2 linked regions of the Coturnix japonica genome follow. The protein of the gene in region 1 interacts with the protein of each later gene in a pairwise test. Links are inferred from orthologs where the notes say so. Each region holds a gene or a part of one and is shown on either strand. Other genes may lie near its edges. The genes, in order: LHX4 and CHCHD2.

What was found.
Region 2: the proteins of LHX4 (region 1) and CHCHD2 interact in binary tests that used the Homo sapiens proteins (3 or more experiments, as listed by UniProt). The two-hybrid records come from large-scale screens. The link is inferred for Coturnix japonica from reciprocal best matches to the Homo sapiens genes LHX4 and CHCHD2.

The regions. Positions count from the first base shown.
Region 1 is NC_029523.1:5,730,825-5,739,842, reverse strand, and holds the start of LHX4 (LIM/homeobox protein Lhx4), read right to left. Parts: upstream 5,615-9,018; 5' UTR 5,455-5,614; coding exon 5,379-5,454; intron 2,167-5,378; coding exon 1,995-2,166; intron 565-1,994; coding exon 362-564; intron 280-361; coding exon 125-279; intron 1-124. Other genes in the region: QSOX1 (sulfhydryl oxidase 1), read right to left, coding at 8,573-9,018. UniProt on the Homo sapiens protein: May play a critical role in the development of respiratory control mechanisms and in the normal growth and maturation of the lung. Binds preferentially to methylated DNA.
Region 2 is NC_029534.1:3,738,564-3,747,664, forward strand, and holds CHCHD2 (coiled-coil-helix-coiled-coil-helix domain-containing protein 2), read right to left. Parts: upstream 5,251-9,101; 5' UTR 5,149-5,250; coding exon 5,099-5,148; intron 4,378-5,098; coding exon 4,152-4,377; intron 3,564-4,151; coding exon 3,407-3,563; intron 3,042-3,406; coding exon 3,031-3,041; 3' UTR 2,811-3,030; downstream 1-2,810. Other genes in the region: PHKG1 (phosphorylase b kinase gamma catalytic chain, skeletal muscle/heart isoform), read right to left, coding at 100-154, 481-656, 1,102-1,184; VKORC1L1 (vitamin K epoxide reductase complex subunit 1-like protein 1), read left to right, coding at 5,462-5,655. UniProt on the Homo sapiens protein: Transcription factor. Binds to the oxygen responsive element of COX4I2 and activates its transcription under hypoxia conditions (4% oxygen), as well as normoxia conditions (20% oxygen).

The sequences.
Region 1 (9,018 bases):
CTACAACCAAGCATCCCTGCACCCCTTCAATCCAGCATCACATCACCGCAGCACCCCAGCACCTGGAACCCAACCCAAGCCCTTTGGTGCTGGGCTGTGTGCAGAGGCCTGTCCTTGGTCTCACCTGCACCACCCTCATGTCCAGCCCCGTCTCAGAGGAGAGCTGCTCCCGCACGTGCCGGGCAGGTTTGGGGGAGTTCTTGTAGGCATTCTTCAGTGTCTCCAGCTGCTTGGCCGTGATGGTGGTGCGGGGCCGCTTAGCTCCAGCCTCGGAGTCATCTGGGAGCAAACGTGTGGCGTGAGCAGCGCTGGCAGTAAAACACAATCTCAGAGGCCACAAAACACGAGCTCGAGGTCCTACCGTTCTGCTTGGCAGTCTCATAGTCCTCCTTGCACACCAGCCTCCCGTCCTCCATCAGGTAGAACTCATCGCCGGTGGCCAGCTGCCGGCTGCAGATGATGCAGGCGAAGCAGTGCAGGTGGTAGACGAAGTCCTGGGCTTTGCGCACCACCTGCGTGGGGGGGATGCCCTGCTGGCACGCCGTGCATTTGGTCCCGAAGCGCCTGCAAGGACAAGCGGCCAGCGGGGCAGAGTTAACCCAGCCATCAGCCTAATTACGGCTGACACCTCACGCGGCGCGGCTTCATCTTCGTCAGCGGCTGCCCCTAATGGAGCTGGGGAAGGGTTGAGTTTAATGGTTCTTTTAACTAATGCTTATAGGCTGCCTGATTTCCCCCGCAAGGACAGTACATATTTCATCCACATTAATACCAAATAAATTAATTACACCGCCCCGCTCTCATGATGAATCCCAGATTAATGCAGAATGATGGGGCTCTTACGCCGTAATGACAGCGTGGCGGTGCTGTGCTGTGCCAGCAGGGTGGGCTGCCAGGGGCGTGCTGCAAAGGTGTGCAGAGCAGGTATGGAGGAGCGTGCAAGGAAAGGGCTGCCCAGAGAGCATTGGGGTCACCATCCCCAAAGGTGCTATGGGGTTGTGGAGATGCAGCACTGAGGGGTGAGGTCGATAGTGGGGTGGGTTGGGGCTGGACTTCAGGATCTGGGTGTTTTCCCACACTTAATGATTCTACATGCAAAGATATTGAAGAGGAACTTCAGGTGAGCAGACCCTGGGCCCCACCAATGGCTGAACCAAAGGTGACGGCACTAAGCTATTGATTAGCTCAGGATGATCTACATGGACCCTGACATGAGCCCACCATTGAGCTCCCAGTGCCAATATCATCGATCCCCACACCTTTGGGCCAGCTCCGTAAGTGACTTGGAGATCATCAGCTTCATTTCACACCATGATTTTCAGTGGCTGCGACAGTGGGACGTGGGGATGTGGTGCTGACGCTGCTGTGCCCCTGGGCTGGCAATGGGATTGGGCTCCTGGGGGGGTGAGGGGGAGGGCACAGAAAAACATGCTGAGCCCCTTCATTCTGCTGAGCTGGGAAGGTCCACACAGGATTATGGCCACATCCTGCGGGTTGGTGGGGATGAAGGATGGGAGATGAGGCATCAGCCCATAGGAAAACCCCCAAATTCTGCCAGAAAACAGGGCTAGAGCATGTGTGCTTGGAAGCTCATTTTGGGGATGGGGGGAGAGCAGAGGTGGGGGGTGGGAAATGGGCTGTTTGTTGGTTCTTCCATGCGGCAGCCGGGGAGATGGATGAGCTCAAGGAGGGAAAGCAGCGGTGAAAAGAAGGGAGGTTCATCTCATAGCACAGAGTGAATATAAAAAGGATGGGGAAAAAAGGGGTAAAAAGGAAGCGGGGAAAGAAATGAAAACATAAAAATAAATACGGGGAGGTGGTGGTGAGGGGGGGAAGGTTAAATATAAAAGAGGAAAGAAATGAGGAGTGGAGCGGTGCCCCCTCACACGGAGCCGGGCAGAGAGAGCAGCAGCATCGGGGATTTCACGGCTCCATCGCAACTCGCGGTAGGAGGGACGGGGAGGAGAGACGGGGCAGCGTCCCCCGGTACTCACTTGAAGAAATCCTCCTTGCAATAGACGCTGCCGGCTCTGGCGAAGCAGCGCTCGGCCAACTGCATCTGGCAATCGGCGCACTTGAGGCACGAGCTGTGCCAGTGGCGGTCCAGCACCTTCAGGATGAACTTGTCCAGGATGTGTTGGCTGCACCCTGCGCACTGGGGGATCTCTGCGGGGATGGAGGGGAGAACGGCCTCAGCAACGGCGGCACCGCGAGTCGCATCGCGCTCCTGCGTTCCCCGATGGAGAAATGGGGAGTGGGGGGGAAGGAAGGGGGGAGAGAGGAAAACGGGGAGGGGATAGAAGGGCAGAATGAGGGGGAGAAGGGTGATGGAGGGAAAAGAGGTTGGAGAAAGGAAAAGGGGAGGAAAAGAGTAGGGGAAGGGGGAAGGTTAATGAGAAGGAAATAAGGAAAATGGAAAGGAAAACGGGAATGGAAAATGGAAAGGGGGGGAGAGGTGGAAGGGTAAAAGGAAAGGGAAGGAGGGAGGAAAAACGAAGGGAGAAAGAGAAGGGGAGAAGAAAGGAAAAGAGAAGAGGGAAAGAAAATAAAACAGAAAAGAGCAAAAGAAAAGAAAAGGGGAATGGAAAGGAAATGAGGAAGGGGGAGAAGGAGAGGAAAAGAAAATGGAATGGAAAAAAAGAAAGGAACAGAGAAAAAGAAAAGAAAGGGGAGGAGAAGAGAAAAGGAAAAGAAGGGGGGAAAGGAAACGAAGAGAGGAAATGAAAACGGAAAATGTGAAAGAAAAGGGAGGAAAAAAAAGGAAACTAAAAGAGAAGGGAGAAAAAGGAAGGAAGAAAAGAGGAGAAAGAGAATAAGAGAAAAGAAAAGAAGGAAAAAGGCAGAAAGGAAAATAAAAAGGGAAAGGGAAGAAGGGAGGAAAAGGAAATAAACGAAATAAAGGGAAGGAAATAAGAAACGGGGGAAGGAAAGGGAAGCAGAGAGAAGGGGGAAATAAAAGGGTAAAGAAAGAAAAGAAATGTAAAAAAATTAAAGGGGAAAAGGCAAAAAAAATGAAAGAAGGAAAAGAAAAACGGAAAAGGAAAAGGGAAATGAATGGACGGAGAGGAAGAAACTAAAGGGAAGGGAGGAAATTAACATGGGAGAAGAAGGGGAAAGGAAAGAGAAATAAAAGGGGGAAAGAAAGCAAAAGAGAACGAAAAAAGGAAATGAAAAGAAGGGATGGGAGGAAAAGTGGGGGGAAAAAAAAAAAAGGACGGGGGGAGGGGGGGGAGGAGGAAAAAGGCAAAAGAAACGCAACGATAAGGGAAAAAAGATCGATAATGGCAGGAGAGAGGAAAGGAAAAAGGGGAAAGAAAAAGGGGTGAAGGCAAAGGGCGCAGCAGCCGATCGCAGCGGGGCGGTGCAGGCGGCGGGGCCCGGCGGTGGGGCAGCGGGGTGACCCCCAGCCCCGGGGGGGGCATCAACAAACGGCACCGAACGGAGACGCCGCCGATCCCACGGGACCCCCCCACGGCAACGAGGGGAGACAGAACCCCCTGCGTTATCCCCACGGACGGATGAAAGAGAGGGGGGGGGAACGGAGCGCGTCCGGCGCAGCCATGCGGGGACGCGCAGCGCTGGAGGCAGCGGCACCTCCGAGCGTCGGGAACGGAACCAGCCGCGGTGTGTATCGCCATATCTGCCCCAAACAGCTCCGGAAAGAGATCGGAACGTGGACAAACAGCTATTGAAATAAAGGCGTGTTTAGGTTTGTTTTCCAGTAGTTCGGATCATTTCATTTGATCTGATAAATATACACACGCATCTGTGTGTACACAGATCAACACACGTACAGATGCACATGTATATACACATGTGTGTATGCATGTGGATATATGCATGCATACACACACATATATACACACACATATATATTCACACACATATACATATAAATACATACATATATATAAACACACAGGGGCCAATCCGGCCCCACTCCCCCCCACTGCACTGCGAGTTGGCAGCACAGCCCGTTGGTTTTATTCCATCTACAGAGATCGATTTCTCTCTTATTTCTTCTTCTTATTATTATTTCTCATGATCGCCCTATCGATGCATTCGTTTATTATTGTTATTATTATTAATTATTATTTCGGGAAGGTGCTTTAGGCATTACTTTGGGTACGGCAAAAGCTTTGCCGCACGTTTGCCCACCTGCCCCTAAAGAAATAGCGCTGTTAATGAGGGTGTCAATTAGCGCTGGCCGTGGGGGGGTTTATAGGCCCACCCCGCAGCTCTCGGCTCCCCAACGCTGAGCTGAAGTCGATGCAGAATGTCGGGGTTAAGGCAGAAAGGAGCTGTGCGGGTGCGGGGGCCGAGAAATGCGATCTCACAGCGATGGGAAACGAGAACGGCAAAGGGAGCTCATCGCTGTGAGCCGTGATGGGGATGGGGATGGGGGGGGGGGGGGTAAAATAAAACCAAATAAAAAGAATAAAATATTATTATAATGATAGAGCAGACCTGGGGGGAGGTGGGGGGGAGGAGGGGATAGCAGCCCCTCTCCCTGTCTCCGGATCCCGGCCAGAGGCCCCGCACTGATGCCCCTATTTCTCACCTCACGGTTTCCCTATAGCATGGGGGGGTTCCGACACGGTGCCTCCGCTGACCCCCCCAGTCCCCACGGAGCCCCGCAGCCCGCACTGAGAGGCGGCCCCATGCAGCCCCTCCACCCCCCCATCCAGCAGCACCACGGGAACTTCGGCAGCACAAACACCGCTATTTCACCACCGATTTGTTGCGCTGAAATACACGAGAAGAACATCTCGTTCGCTGCTCCCTGCTGCGGGCAGAAGCAGAGAGACAGCCCCACATCGGGCTGGGGGTGCGGATGGGGCACTGCCCCCTCCCAGTACCGGACCCCCCCGATACAGCGGGACGCTCCGCTTCTCCGGAACCGTTTACGAACGGGGTGTGGGGGGAGGGGGAACCGTGAAAGCAATAATCGATGATAACGGCGATAATAAACACGAATGCGAATCATAAACGCTAACAACGATAACAAATAGAACCGAACCGAGACCGGCACTGCTCGCACCCTCCCCCCCTCCCATTACACCCGCACGGTGTCCCCGCATACAGCCGGACGCTCACGGCCCTCCCGGGGGGGGCACCCGGCTCCTCGCCACCTGTAGCTCTGCAGCACGTACCGATGGATGTTCGCACCGACAGACCGGAGGAGGCTCGGGGCCTCGTGTCGCGACATACAGCGACAGCGGGGGCACCGCTGCAGCCCCGTGCACACGCACAGCCGCCCCGACCGCCCCGACGGGCCCCCCCGGCTTCACCGAGCAGAACACGGGGGGAAACGAAAGGGTGGGAAACGCGACCGGGGGACAACGGGGAGGGAACGGGGAAGAGAAACGCGTCCTTACGTTGTACCGGCACCCCGAGGATCTCCGGCAGCCCCTTGACAGCCCCTTCGGCAGCGAGCGCTGAGCTTTGCATCATTTTATTGGCCCGGGGGCGACGGAGGGGAGAGAAGAGGGGAGAGAAGAGGGCAGGGAGAGGGCAGCGGGCCGGGCCCCGGACACGAGCAGCACCAGTTGGAGCCGAGCCGTCCCGGTGCCGGTGCCGGTGTCGGTGTCGGTGTCGGTGTCGGTGCCGGTTGCGGCCCGTTGCGGTGCCGCAGCTGTGCCGGCAGCTCCGCCCGCCTCCCATTCATTGCCCTGCGGGGAGCGCGCCTGACGTCACCGCCCGCAGGGGGCCGGGGGCGGGGCCTGCCGCTCTCCGCCAATCACCGCACGCCGCACGCCTTAGGGGGCGGGGCCTGAGGGCAGAAAGGGGCGGGGCGTAGTGGTTGTGGGCGTGGCTTGAATGAAAGGGGCGGGGCCTGAGCGCGCCACGCCCCGGGAGTCCGGAACCTGCGGAGCGTGGACGGAGATATCGCGACATGGGGCTGTCGGGACATGGCGCCGGGCAGCCGGGCCGTGAGCGGCCGAGAGCAGAGGGGCAACGCAGAGCGGGGCGATGCCGAAGGGCTGGGGCCGGTCGGTGCCGGTGAGCGGGGCGCGGGAACGACGAAACCCCCCAGATCTCCCGCGGGGAGCGGGGCCGGGCACTGACACAGCCCGGCAGCGGATCTGCCCGGCCAGGGGCTGCTCTGCGGGGCGGGAGGAGCCGCACGGAGCAATGGGACCTGCGGGCAGGAGGGCATCCCTGTACCCATCCCTGTACCCATCCCTGTACCCATCCCTGTATTCATCCCTGTATTCATCCCTGTACCCATCCCTGTACCCATCCCTGTACCCATCCCTGTATTCATCCCTGTACCCATCCCTGTACCCATCCCTTACCACATCCCTTACCCCCATCCCTTACCCCCATCCCTTACCCCATCCCTTACCCCATCCCTTAGCCCCATCCCTTACCCCCATCCCTTAGTTCCATCCCTTACCCCATCCCTGTCCCCCATCCCTTTCCCAGGCCGTTCTCCAAACGCCGCTGCCGGAGTCACGGCGCTCTGCCCCCCCCGCTCCGGAGGGCTCCGATGGATCCTTCTGCCCCAACGCGTCCCCTTCTCCCGAGGGGGTTCCGTTCTCATTCCGCATATCGGTACGGACCCCCTCCCTGCCGCCATCTGCATCACCCATCCCCGCATCGCACTGGTGCCCCATGACCCCCGCAGCACCTTCCACGCATCACCTCTATCCTCGCCCCGCTCCGTTCCCTCACGCACCTCCCTCCCCTCGCCCATCTATTCCCCTTCGAATCGCTTTGGGGCTCATTCCCCCCGGTGCCCTGAGAAGGCGTCAAGGTTGGATAATCCCATCCCTTTCACCCCCCCCCCCAAGTGGGAAGGAGGTATCCGGACCCCCCGCATCCCACCCCCATTGCATGGAGAAATCACAGAGCGGACACTTACCGGCGGCTGGAGAACGCGGGTTGTGCCGAGCAGGGCGCTGTTAATTTTAATAGGGGTTTAGCAGACATGAAGGGTGTCCCCCCCACCACAATCCCCAGCCCCGCTATTTTATGGCCGGAGAGGCTCCTGCCTGCATCGAGGTGGGAAAGGAAAGAGGGGAGAAAGGAAGCGGCGGGCGGCAGCGAGCCGGGGGGGCGGCTGGCCCAGGAAAATTAAATTGCACTTGAGGGCAAATTCTATTAGGGAATAGCGACTGTCTCCCATCAGCCTGCGCCATTTGGGTAATTACCGGCGATGGGAAGGGGCGGCCCCGGGGGGATATGCAGCACAGCCCCCCCCCCATCCCTCATCTCAGCCCACCTGTGAGCACGGCACAACGCGGCGCTGCCCCACCGCAGCGGCCACTTTGGGTGCCCATCGGCGTGTGTGGGGGGGTCCCCAGCGCTGCTCCTTCCGCGAGCATCGGGCCGGCACCAAACAGGATTACGGAAAGTCTATTTACGGGACTCTCTTTTTCCCTGCGTGCGTGGCGGCTTTAGCTCCCAGCACCGCAAATCTCCCCCCACAGCGGCGATCTGGGCAGCCTCCCCCACCCCCAGCGCATCATCTCCCACCGCTGCTTTAGGGTCAGGGAGGGGGTGCAGAGGAGCATCTGCTTCCAGGAGAGGTGCCCGGGGTTGGGTGGGAGGGGTGAGGGATGCTGGGGATGGGCACCTCCCCCTCCAGGGAAATCAAGGAGAAGGAGGCAGCGGCGACAGACGATTTATTTCAAGGGCAGGAGGATGGGCCCGTAGCGCTGCCGGCCCTTCTCCTCCCACCTGGGCAAAGTGAAGATATCAAGAAAATGGCTCCAAATCGGATTGACACCCCCCTCACGCACACCCCCCTAATAAAGTTTATTATCAGCCGGGCTCTAATCCCTTTAAATCCCCGCACGGGGGGCAGGGCTGGGATTAGGGGAGGGCTGCGTAATCCCAATGAATTTGTTACAGGGGGGATTTAGGCAGCGCCAAAGGAGCAGATGGCCGCGGCCTCGGAAAACAACCATTTTCCTTAATGATTCCTAACAAGGATAAAAGGGCAGGGAGAAACGGGGCCAGAGCCCGGCCCAGGTCCCGGTCCCCGGGGACGCTCCTGCGTCCTGCCCAGGGCACAGCTGCAGCCCCAGCACTGGGGCCGGTTTATTGCCAGCTCCTTTTCCTTGCGTCCTCCCCCGCGCTGTAGGGGTTGTCCGACCACTTGGGGACACTGCAGCCCCGGGGATGTGGGGCTGGACGCATCCCGAAGCAAGAGAACAAAATAAGGGACGAACCGACAGCACCGTCGGCAAAAATAATTTATTCCACTAAGACAAGCAGAGAGCGAGCAACGAGATGGGGAGGGGGACAAAACCCACCCCCAGGGCCCCCACAGGCAAAGGGGGAATAGCAGGGGGGGACCAGCGTGATGCTCCTGGCCCCAGGAGCCTCCTGAAGCAGGAGGCTGCCCCAGCACAGGACCGGGCTGCCCAGTCCCTGCAGAGGACAACGGGGTACCGGGACCCCAACCAACATCAGCATCACAGCCCCAGGGATGTGGCACACAGAGGGAAACCCCCCCTAAAAAAAACCAGCAAAACCTCTGCCCTGGGCAACGCGAGGAGGAGCCCCGCAGCCCCGGGGGGTGGGTGGGGGTCCTGCAGCCCACAGGGGGTCCCACTTGCTCTCATGGTACGGGGAAGCCAGAACGGCCCTTCCGTGCGCGGGTGCGGAGTCGGAAGAAGGTGTACATGCCCAGGAGGCACATGGAGGAGAGGAAGTAGAGCGCGATGCAGAGGCTGACGTCCAGGCGGGAGAAGCCCAAGCCCAGCACCCGCAGCCAGGGGCTCCTCCTCAAGCCCCCCTCCTCCCCTTCCTCACGGCTCTGGGGCACTTGCAGCCGCTCCCAGCCGGCGTTGTGATGCAGGGCGATGGTGTCCCTCTTGCTGAGCCGCCGGTGCCGGCCGGCTGCCCGCAGTGCCTTGCTCTTGAAGTGCTGGTCACTGAAGGAGTCCAGGTCCACGATGTCCTCCCCCAGCGCCTGCAGCCGTGGGTTCCTGCGCACGATGCTGGGACGGCGCAGCTCCGAGGAGCCCGGCCGCCCCGTCTCGCCCTCCCTGTCGGGCTTCTCTG
Region 2 (9,101 bases), on another chromosome or scaffold:
AGCAAGACCCAGTCGTGGCCCTGTTTTGCCCATTGGGGCCATAGAAAAAAGCAGGGTGGAAATGTGGAGGAATGGAGGCAAATGGGAGCTGGTACTTACAGGTCAAACACCAGGAAGAAGAAGGTGCTGGACTCATAGCTGTCCTTCAGCTGGACTGCAATGAAATGGAGCTGTGAGCTCTGTGCAGTGTGTTCCTCAGCACACACCCCATGCACAGAGAGCTCCTTTCCACTAACAGCCTAAAAATTGCTGATCTAATTGCTAAGTGAATTAACTAATTAAGTGAATTAATTAATGCTTTGATCAGGAGCTCAGGAGGGAGATGGCTGGGCAGAGGCAGAGCAGGGGATGCTCTGAGCAGCTTCTCCACCTCATGCCAGACCATGGATCCCACAGAGCTCTGACATCCATCACCCCAAAGCCCGTCCTGGGTGAACCTCCAAGAGTAAACGTGGCAGAAACCCTCCTGCCCCGACTCACTGACGTTGGGGTGTCCCGAGACCTTGCGCAGGATGTCGATCTCTTTGGCTGTGGCCTCACGCAGCTCCTGCACCTCCTGGGGGGAGATGTTCCCTGCTGTGATGTCGATGATCTTCACCGCATATTCCTGCCTGGTCACTTTGTGGATGCACCGACGGACGACGCTGCTCACCCCCCTGCCAGGAACAGCCCAGGAACAATGAGGTACTTCCCACCCCTGTTTGCATGACATGCTATGGAGGATCAGGATGGAATCGTTTTCCCACAACTGGGAGATGGACCCAATGATCCTTATGGGTCCCTTCTACTCTATGAACTAACAGGGATGCGGTGTGAGCTCCTGGGATGGGTCCTAAGTTGGGGCATCGTGGGTTGGCAGAGGGTTGGAACAGGATGATGTTTAAGATCCCTTCCACCCCAAACCATTTGTCTGGGCTCCCCCCACCCAGCACAGACACACGTTGGGGCCGTGGTGCTTTCCTGGCTCAGGGGGACAAACTTGGTGCAGCTGGAAGGTGCTTCTTCATGCTATTTTTAACCCGTGGGTGGGTGCTGTGGGCTCCCATCAGATCAGATTCCTGTTGTGATCAAGCAAAACATTTTCCCAGAACCAAACTTTACCTGCCCAGAACCTCCTTGGGCTCATATTTTTCATAGAACTCCTTGGATGTGTTCCAGTCCGGGAGCTCCTCCTCCTTTGTCATGGCTGGGTGCTGCCAGGTGGAACTGGGCTGGGGAGAGAACAGCTCTGATGGACCCAAAACATCAACCCATGGCACTGCCCAGGGACCCGCTGAGCTGTGAGATCCACCTCAATTCCTCCCAGCCCTGTTCTTTCTGGTTCTAACACTAATTGTTTTCCCCTGATTATTATGAGAAATCCGTCCCGAATGGCTTTTGGCTGAGAAAAAGTAGGAGAAAATGGCATGAAAAGGGAAGGGAGGGGAGAGCTGGAGCCGCTGCCAGCACGGTGGGGTCAGCTGGGGCCGAGCTGCAGGGTCGGGCAGGGCAACACAATGTGGGTGCCAGCAGCGCCCAGACCCCGAACCTCCCTTTAGAAGCACTTTGTTTCCTTCCCTTTTAAGCTGCTCCTTGCAGGCAATGCTGCCCCACATCTCGTTGTTGACAGCAGCCCCCATTGGGTTGCAGGGCTGGCTGTAGGCTGGGGGCGATCCGACACCGCTTGCTTTGCTTTGGATTAGTAAGCACACCGATTAACGCGTGCTATTAGTACGTTATGCCATAAAACGCAGCTGATGGGAGATTTGGGAGAAGCGCTGACCCCATTTGGGGCTCAAATCCTACGTGCGCGGCGCAGAGAAAACATCGATGGGGGATGGAGAGAATGAGGGGGGTCTCAGTGCGCGCTGAGCTGCACCGCCCTGTATCGCCCCATATCGCCCTCCCGTCCCCCCCGGCGGCCTCAGCTCCCGGTCCGGCCTCACCTCCCCTCGGTTCCCGCAGCGCCGCCGTCTCAGCCGTGCGCCATCGGGGCCGGAAACGGAGCGGGACGGGAGGAGGAGCGCGGGGAGGGGGAGGAGCGGAGCAGCGCTGAAAATAACGCGCAGCGCCGCAGCGGCCCGGAGGATGGTTGGGGTGGGGGGGGGGGTGGATATCTCTGCCCCCGTTATTCCTGTCCCGTTATTCCTGCCCCCGTTATTTCTGCCCCGTCCCTCCACGGCGGGGCGGCCCCAAGCTCTGATTTGATCCGTTCTCTTCCAGGAAATGCTGCACAGAGATGAGGCTCCGAGGAGCCGGTGGGACACAGCGCAGCAGCTCAGGAAACAAGAAGGTATTTTTTAGGGTCTTTGTAAAGGAGTTGTGTTACTGGGGGCTGCGAGTTCCCTTTAAGATGGTGCTTCAGCCATTTTGTCTTGGAAGTGTGTATTGCTACGCAGAGCTTTCATGTAGAGGGATGGCATTTCCTCAGCCTCTTTAAACTGAATACAGAGGACACAGTCAGAACTAGGATGGGATGCGGGCTGACCTGCTGCACACCCAGCATTGCAGTCAGCCATAACCTCCCTCCTCCCCACACTCTGCAATAAGCACAAGTTGCCCCCGGGGTTCAAATAGTGCAGGAAATGTCAGTCACCAAACCCTGAGCCAAAGCTGCTCCTGGCAGCCTGCAGCTCCAGCCCTTCAGCCCTCCCTGCCAGCAGGGCTGGGAACGTGCTCAGCCTGCTAAAATCAGTTCCTGCCCGCTCACCTTCAGAACTCAACTCACCCAGCAGCCCAAACCCCCCCCCAGGGCAAGGTACCTCCATGGACACCTTTATTTGTACACCACCTCGCTCCCATTCAACGCAGTAATTAAGAAATAGCCCCAATCAACTCATTACAATTTATTGATCATTACTTCCATTTTGTGCTCAATTAGTTTGCAGTTGTATCACAGCTGTAGAGGCTACTGCAGAAATGAGGCCACAAAGACAACAGCGTGACTACACGAAAGTAACAAGATATCAGAGAGCTTTAGGCTATTAGCAAAGCTTTTTCATTCATAGGTCAGTTCTTTAAGGTGGTCTTCAGCAGCCTCGGTCTGGAGGCTTAAGCTAAACCTGGAAGGCAAGAAGTTACAGCAGTTAATCATGGGAAGTTTTAGACCCAGAGAGATTTTAGAAGGTTTTAGACTCAGGTGCCCATCCCTGCAGACCCCCAGGGTCAGGCTGGAGGGCTGTGAGCACTGATGGAGCTGTGGGTGTCCCTGTGCATTGCAGGCAGTGGGACCAGATGGCCCTTTGGGGTCCCTTCCATCTCAAACTATTCCATCATCCTGCTATAATGCACACACAGGCTCAGACCTCCCCCCTCACCCCCTGATATTTGCTGACATGATGAAGATTTCAGCAATCCAGACACCTGTGTTTGGAAGCTTCTTGTCCTCCCCCATCAGAGCACTGGGCTGGCACTGCTGTCTACTTACCATTAGCAAACCTGCACTGCTTCAGCACTTCACTGAAGCCCTCGCACAGTTTGAGGTCAGTCTGGTTCTGTGCGCACTCCAGGAACTGCTTCATTTCATACTGGCAAGGAGCAAACTGCTGCTGCTGCTGGTAGGAAGGCTGAGCAGCCTGGGGTTCCTAAAACAGCACACACCTCTGTAAGCACCATGGAGCTGTAATACCCCGTGCTGCTCTCAGTGCACTTCTTCCCTGTGTTTTTGTTACAGAATGTTCCTTTTTAAATGGAAACCTATGGGCCAAAGTACAAAGGTTCCAGTGCTGACATGAGGCGTGCTGAGCAGTTGTGTAGGTTACACACACTGAAGTAAGTCTGGATTGCACCGGAGCAAGGCAACAGCACCGTACTGATGTGCCAATAGCACCGTACTGATGTGCCAATAGCACTGTACTGATGTCTCAGCAGCACAAGAAGTGACTGCAGGACAAAAATCTTGCAGTAGATCTCATCATTACCAGACCTGGAACATAGAAGTCCCCTGTGAATCACAAGGGGATAAAAACAACACGCTGTGTGTGCTGCTATCCATATACACTGCATGTGTGACCCTTTGAACCACTTGAAGTTGGAGGCTGAGTCAAGAACGTTGCTCTAGAATCCCCAGCCAGAGCTTTGTGCAGCTTTTAACCCTGTAGCAACTACTTGGACCTATTGCATGTGCTCTCCCAGGTTAACCCCAGCTCAGCACCCAGCGGTGCCTTCCTTACCTGGTAGGTAATATCAGGCCCCGCGGGCTCAGCGGCACTTCCTCCCCCGAAGCCTCCGGTGATGGCGTGTCCGATGGTGTGTCCCACGGCCGAACCCACAGCGACCCCAGCCGCGGTCGTGGCCATTTGTGCCATCAGCCCGGGCTGCTTTGGGGCAGGAGCGGCCACAGCATTGGCGGGTGCTGGGGCTGGAGCTGGCGGCGCTGCTCTCATCTGCGGCACCCGGCTGTGGGGAAACAGAGACCATCACAAAGGGCTGCGGCCTCCAGCTCACAGAGCAAACAGCGGCAGCTCCAATTCGTGTGACCCCACACACACACAATGCAAGGACGTGGTGTTCCAGGGAGTCATTCACACAGCGCAGGGGCCGTTTGCAGACTGTTTTTCTTTCTTGTTCTCCAACAGATCCTGCCTAACAGCCTACACACCCCATACAGGGCCTTATATAGACCCCATATAGGCCTTATATACACCCCCTATAGGGTTTTATATACACGCCATATAGGGCCTTATATACGCCCCCTATAGTGCCTTATACACACCCCATATAGGGCCTTATATACGCCCCCTATAGGGCCTTATATACACCCCCTATAGGGCCTTATATTCACCCCCCTATAGGGCCTTATACACCCCCCTATAGGGCCTTATATACACCCCATGTAGGGCCTTATATACACCCCCTATAGTGCCTTATATTCACCCCCTATAGGGCCTTATATACATCCCATGTAGGGCCTTATATAAACCCCATGTAGGGCCTTATATGCACCCCCTATAGTGCCCTATATACACCCCCCCATCAAATCTCCCACCCGCTCCACAGCCCCGTCCCATCTGCGTCATCCCCCTCCATGGCTGCGAGGCCTTTGCGGCCTACACGTCCCGCGTGGTGCGGTGTGACCCGATCATTAGCTCTGGTTGTTCGGTCGCCCATTGACGCTCACCTGGCGGGCGGCGCCACGCGGGACGAGCGGCTGCGTCCCCCCCTGGGCATGGCGGGCAACGAGACGGGACGAGAACCGGGACACGAGCGGAACCGAGCAGACACTGAAGGTCAGAACACGCCGCGCTGCGTCACTTCCTCCGCACGGAGGGGCGGGCGCTGGGGCGGCCATAAGGTTGTAACGCTCCCTCCGACCACCAGGGGGCGCAATTCCCCGCCCCTCCCCACACCGACGTTACGTGACGTCGTCGCGAAGCGCCACGTCCGGCGTGTCCTCCCGGGCAGCCAATGAGGTGAAGGCGCGCGTGCGCTGCCGGTGGGCGCCGGGCGCGCGTCGCGGGCTGAGGCGGAGGGAGGGGGTAAGATGGCGGCGCCCGTCCTGCTCAGAGTGTCGGTGCCGCGATGGGAGCGGGTGGCTCGATCCGCCGTGTGTGCGGCCGGGATCCTGCTGTCACTGTACGCCTGTCACCTGGAGAGGGAGAAGGGACGAGATCTGCACTACCAGGCGTTGTGCGACCTCAGCGAGAGGGTCCGCTGCTCCGCCGCCATCACCTCCAGGTGAGGGGGAGAACGGCAGAGAGACCGGCCACAACGGGACGGGAACGGGGAGAAGGGGAAGGGCCGGGGGAGGGAATGAGATGTGGGGGGTGAGATGGGAACGGAGAGATGGGATGAGCGGGAGGAGGATGATAATGATAGTGATGGTGGTGATGATGATGATGATGATGATGAAGGCCTTCAGCCTGGAGAAGAGAAGGTTGCGGGGTGACCTCATTGCGGCCTTTCAATACCTGAAGGGAACCTATAACCAGGAGGGGAGTAAACTCTTGGAAAGAGCTGACAATAGCAGGACACGGGGAAATGGATTTAAGTTAAAAGAGGGAAGATTTAGGTTGGATGTGAGGGGGAAGTTCTTCACTAGGAGAGTGGTGAGGCCCTGGAACAGGCTGCCCAGGGAGGTTGTGGATGCCCCGTCCTTGGAGGTGTTCAAGGCCAGGTTGGACGGGGCCCTGGGCAACCTGATCTAGTAAAGGTGTATGTTTGGTGGCCCTGCCAGGCAGGGGGTTGGAACTACATGATCCTTGAGGTCCCTTCCAACCCGGGTCATTCTGTGATTCTATGAGGGCCTCGTGCTGTGCTGCCCGTTCCCGGCACTGTTTTAGGGCCGCATTGAGGCTATGGGGCAGCACCGGTGGGTGTGAGTCGGCCCGGGGCCCACACAGCACAGTGTGGTGTACGAGGTGTTAACGGCGAATCCAAAGTGCTTGTTCATCGTGCTGTTACCTGGGAGTGTGTAAATACGTGTGTGTGTGATGCACGGGAAGGGATTCATCGAGAGAGGAAAAGCTCTGCTCACATCTTGGCTTATCCTGTGGGATTCCCTGCAGTGATCAACGTGGCAGCTGTTTGCTGAAGGTCGATAGCAGGGCAGGGCTCAGCCTGCTGTAGGTGCAGGCTCTGCTGGGTATCGCTGTGCTGCAGGTCCGGCTGCCTTACAGCCTCAGCTGTGTTTCAGCTGGAGGAATGAGGTGACTGCAGAGCGATGCAGGCTGCTCTGTGTGCAAACAAAGACATACAAGCACGTACATGGGTGGACAGCTGAGAATGAGAGAGTTGGGGTCCTTCAGCAAATGGATGTAGTGAGCACTTCCCTTTTATTTGTTGTGCCTTCAGTCGGATGAATCCTTGAATGTTACGTGGGTTTATCAGGTTTCTTCTTTCTCAGTCATCCCACTCCATACACAGGTATTGCCATAGCAAAGTGGTGGAGAGATGTGAGTGACCTGCTGATGTGGATGCTGGTTGGTTTGTATAGATGAAACATACGTGGAAATCCTTCTGCTGAAATCGGTTCTGTGTGTTGAGTTACAGAGAGATGAATCCGCTGCTGTCTGGAAGGAGGCTGCTGTGGCTGAGTGAGGGCTGTGCCTTTGCCTTTCATTCTGTGGTCAGATGATGTTTAATTTGTGAAGGTGGTTGTTCATGGTGCTGCTTCAGAGTGGTCCAAACACCAGCAGTTTCAATCTAAACAGAAAGAGGACTTCAATACGCTCGCATGGTAACTTCAACTTGTAAATGAGCATTAGGTGTGGGCTGCTGAGGTTAAACCAAGTGAGTATTGTCAGTAATTCACAGTCATTCACCGCCACCATAGAGGTGAGAGGAGGATAATGGGGGTTTCTGAGCCCCCTGTTGTGGTCTGTTCTGTTCTTGGTCCTTCAGGGATTGTTGTTACTGTAAGGAGTGCCCTTGAGATGGGGAATTTCAAATAGCAGATTTAATGTATGTTTACCGAGCGCTTTGCAAAAGCAAAATGGTTATAATCAGAAATAGCTAAAGATATAATTAGAGAATAATGCTGGGTAATTATAGCATTGGTTAGTAATGCCGTGGTAAGACCTGTCAGTACTTCAGTGCAGGAGTTTTAAATAACAATCTGAGTGTTTGGGGATAAGATCCACAAAGATCTGACTTGAAATCTCCCCAGCAGTTGCTAGGAGAGCCCTGCTTAGCGACTGAAGTATTGCAAATGTCAGGGTAGCTCTGGTGGTAATGGAAACAGGTGGTAAGAAGAGTTTGTGGGGAAGGAGCATGCGAGTTCTGTGCAGTCAAACCATATTTGGAGAGGAATGTGCTTTCAGCTGTGTACGGCCACAGGCCAGAAAGGGATATTCCTTTAAAATCAAGACGAGAGGGCAGGCTATGAACCTTTGAAGGAAGGATAACAGTGGAAGAAATTAACCCGACTCTCTGTGCTGCCACAGCATCCCTTCCATCAGTCGCTCTCCTCTCCCCCTCCAATGCGGTGCCTCTCGTTGCTGCCACAATGAGAAACTTCATTCCTAGGAGGAAATTCAGACTTCACCTGGGTAATAGGATTTCAGGTGTGCTGTTCCAGCTTTCTGGTATGCAGCGTGTAGCTCTGGACTCTTCTCATTGAGCTTTCTCAGTGATGGTTGCACAGCTGGTCGTGTGATTTGTTTCTGCAGAGTTAAAGGGGTGACACAGGTGCATGCACAGCTTCCTTCAGTCGTGTGACTTAAGGCAGGTTTGTTAATGGGAGCAATGGGACCTGGAAGGTCAAAATGGTCACATTGCCAGTGATGGCTCCAGCAGGGGATGGAACTTGGATAAAGCACAGTCATGGTATTGGTGTTAACGTGAATTGTATAGGATAATTGGAATAAACTGGTGTATTTTTTCTTTGAGCTCAGTTGGTTTGGAACTCAGTGCTGGTCTTTGGGGAGGATTTTTTTTTTCCTCTAATAAGCTGTTGTTATTCCCAACTCTTGTTTCTGAGCCAAACCTGATATTGGCACAAGGATGAGGAAAGATGTTGTGAAGATTAACAGCACGCAGAGGGAGGAGCATGGGAAATCTGCTATCGGAGACTGACTCATGCAGAAGATTATAGAGGAGAGAGAGCTTCCCAGTGTCCCTTATTATTCTGAACGCTCGTGGTCAGGTGTGTCTCAGGCTTTTATCATGAGGTGGTTTGGAAAGAAAAACAGCTGTGGACTATATAGTGGTCACTGCCGTTATCTAAGTGGTGATAAGACATAGGGAATAGAAATGCTTTCCTTTGGCAGTTGCTGTGGATGTTGTAAGTGAATTGATCTCTTGTGTCTGAGAAAAATGAAGTGGTAAGAATGGCTTTACTTATAATGAAGCCGGCTGGTAGCAGCTCCTGACACATCTTTTCCTTTTTGCTGGTATAGTGGCTTCACAGAGGAAATCAAACTAACAGACATGTCAGGTTGGATAGTGATAGGGCTTGAAATGAAACACAGCACTGAGTAGCAATGGAGATGCTGGGCTCCTTGCTTTGCTCTTTGCTGTGCCGTGGAGATTTGGGTCCTGTGGCCGCTGCTGCTTTCTCTTCATTGATTTAAGGCACCTGCAGGGCCCAGCAAATTAACGGCTGGCTTTTATTGAAGGAAGCATTGTAGCCCAGAATACGTTAATGCTGTAACAGCTTTAATACAGCCTCAGGATAACTGGCA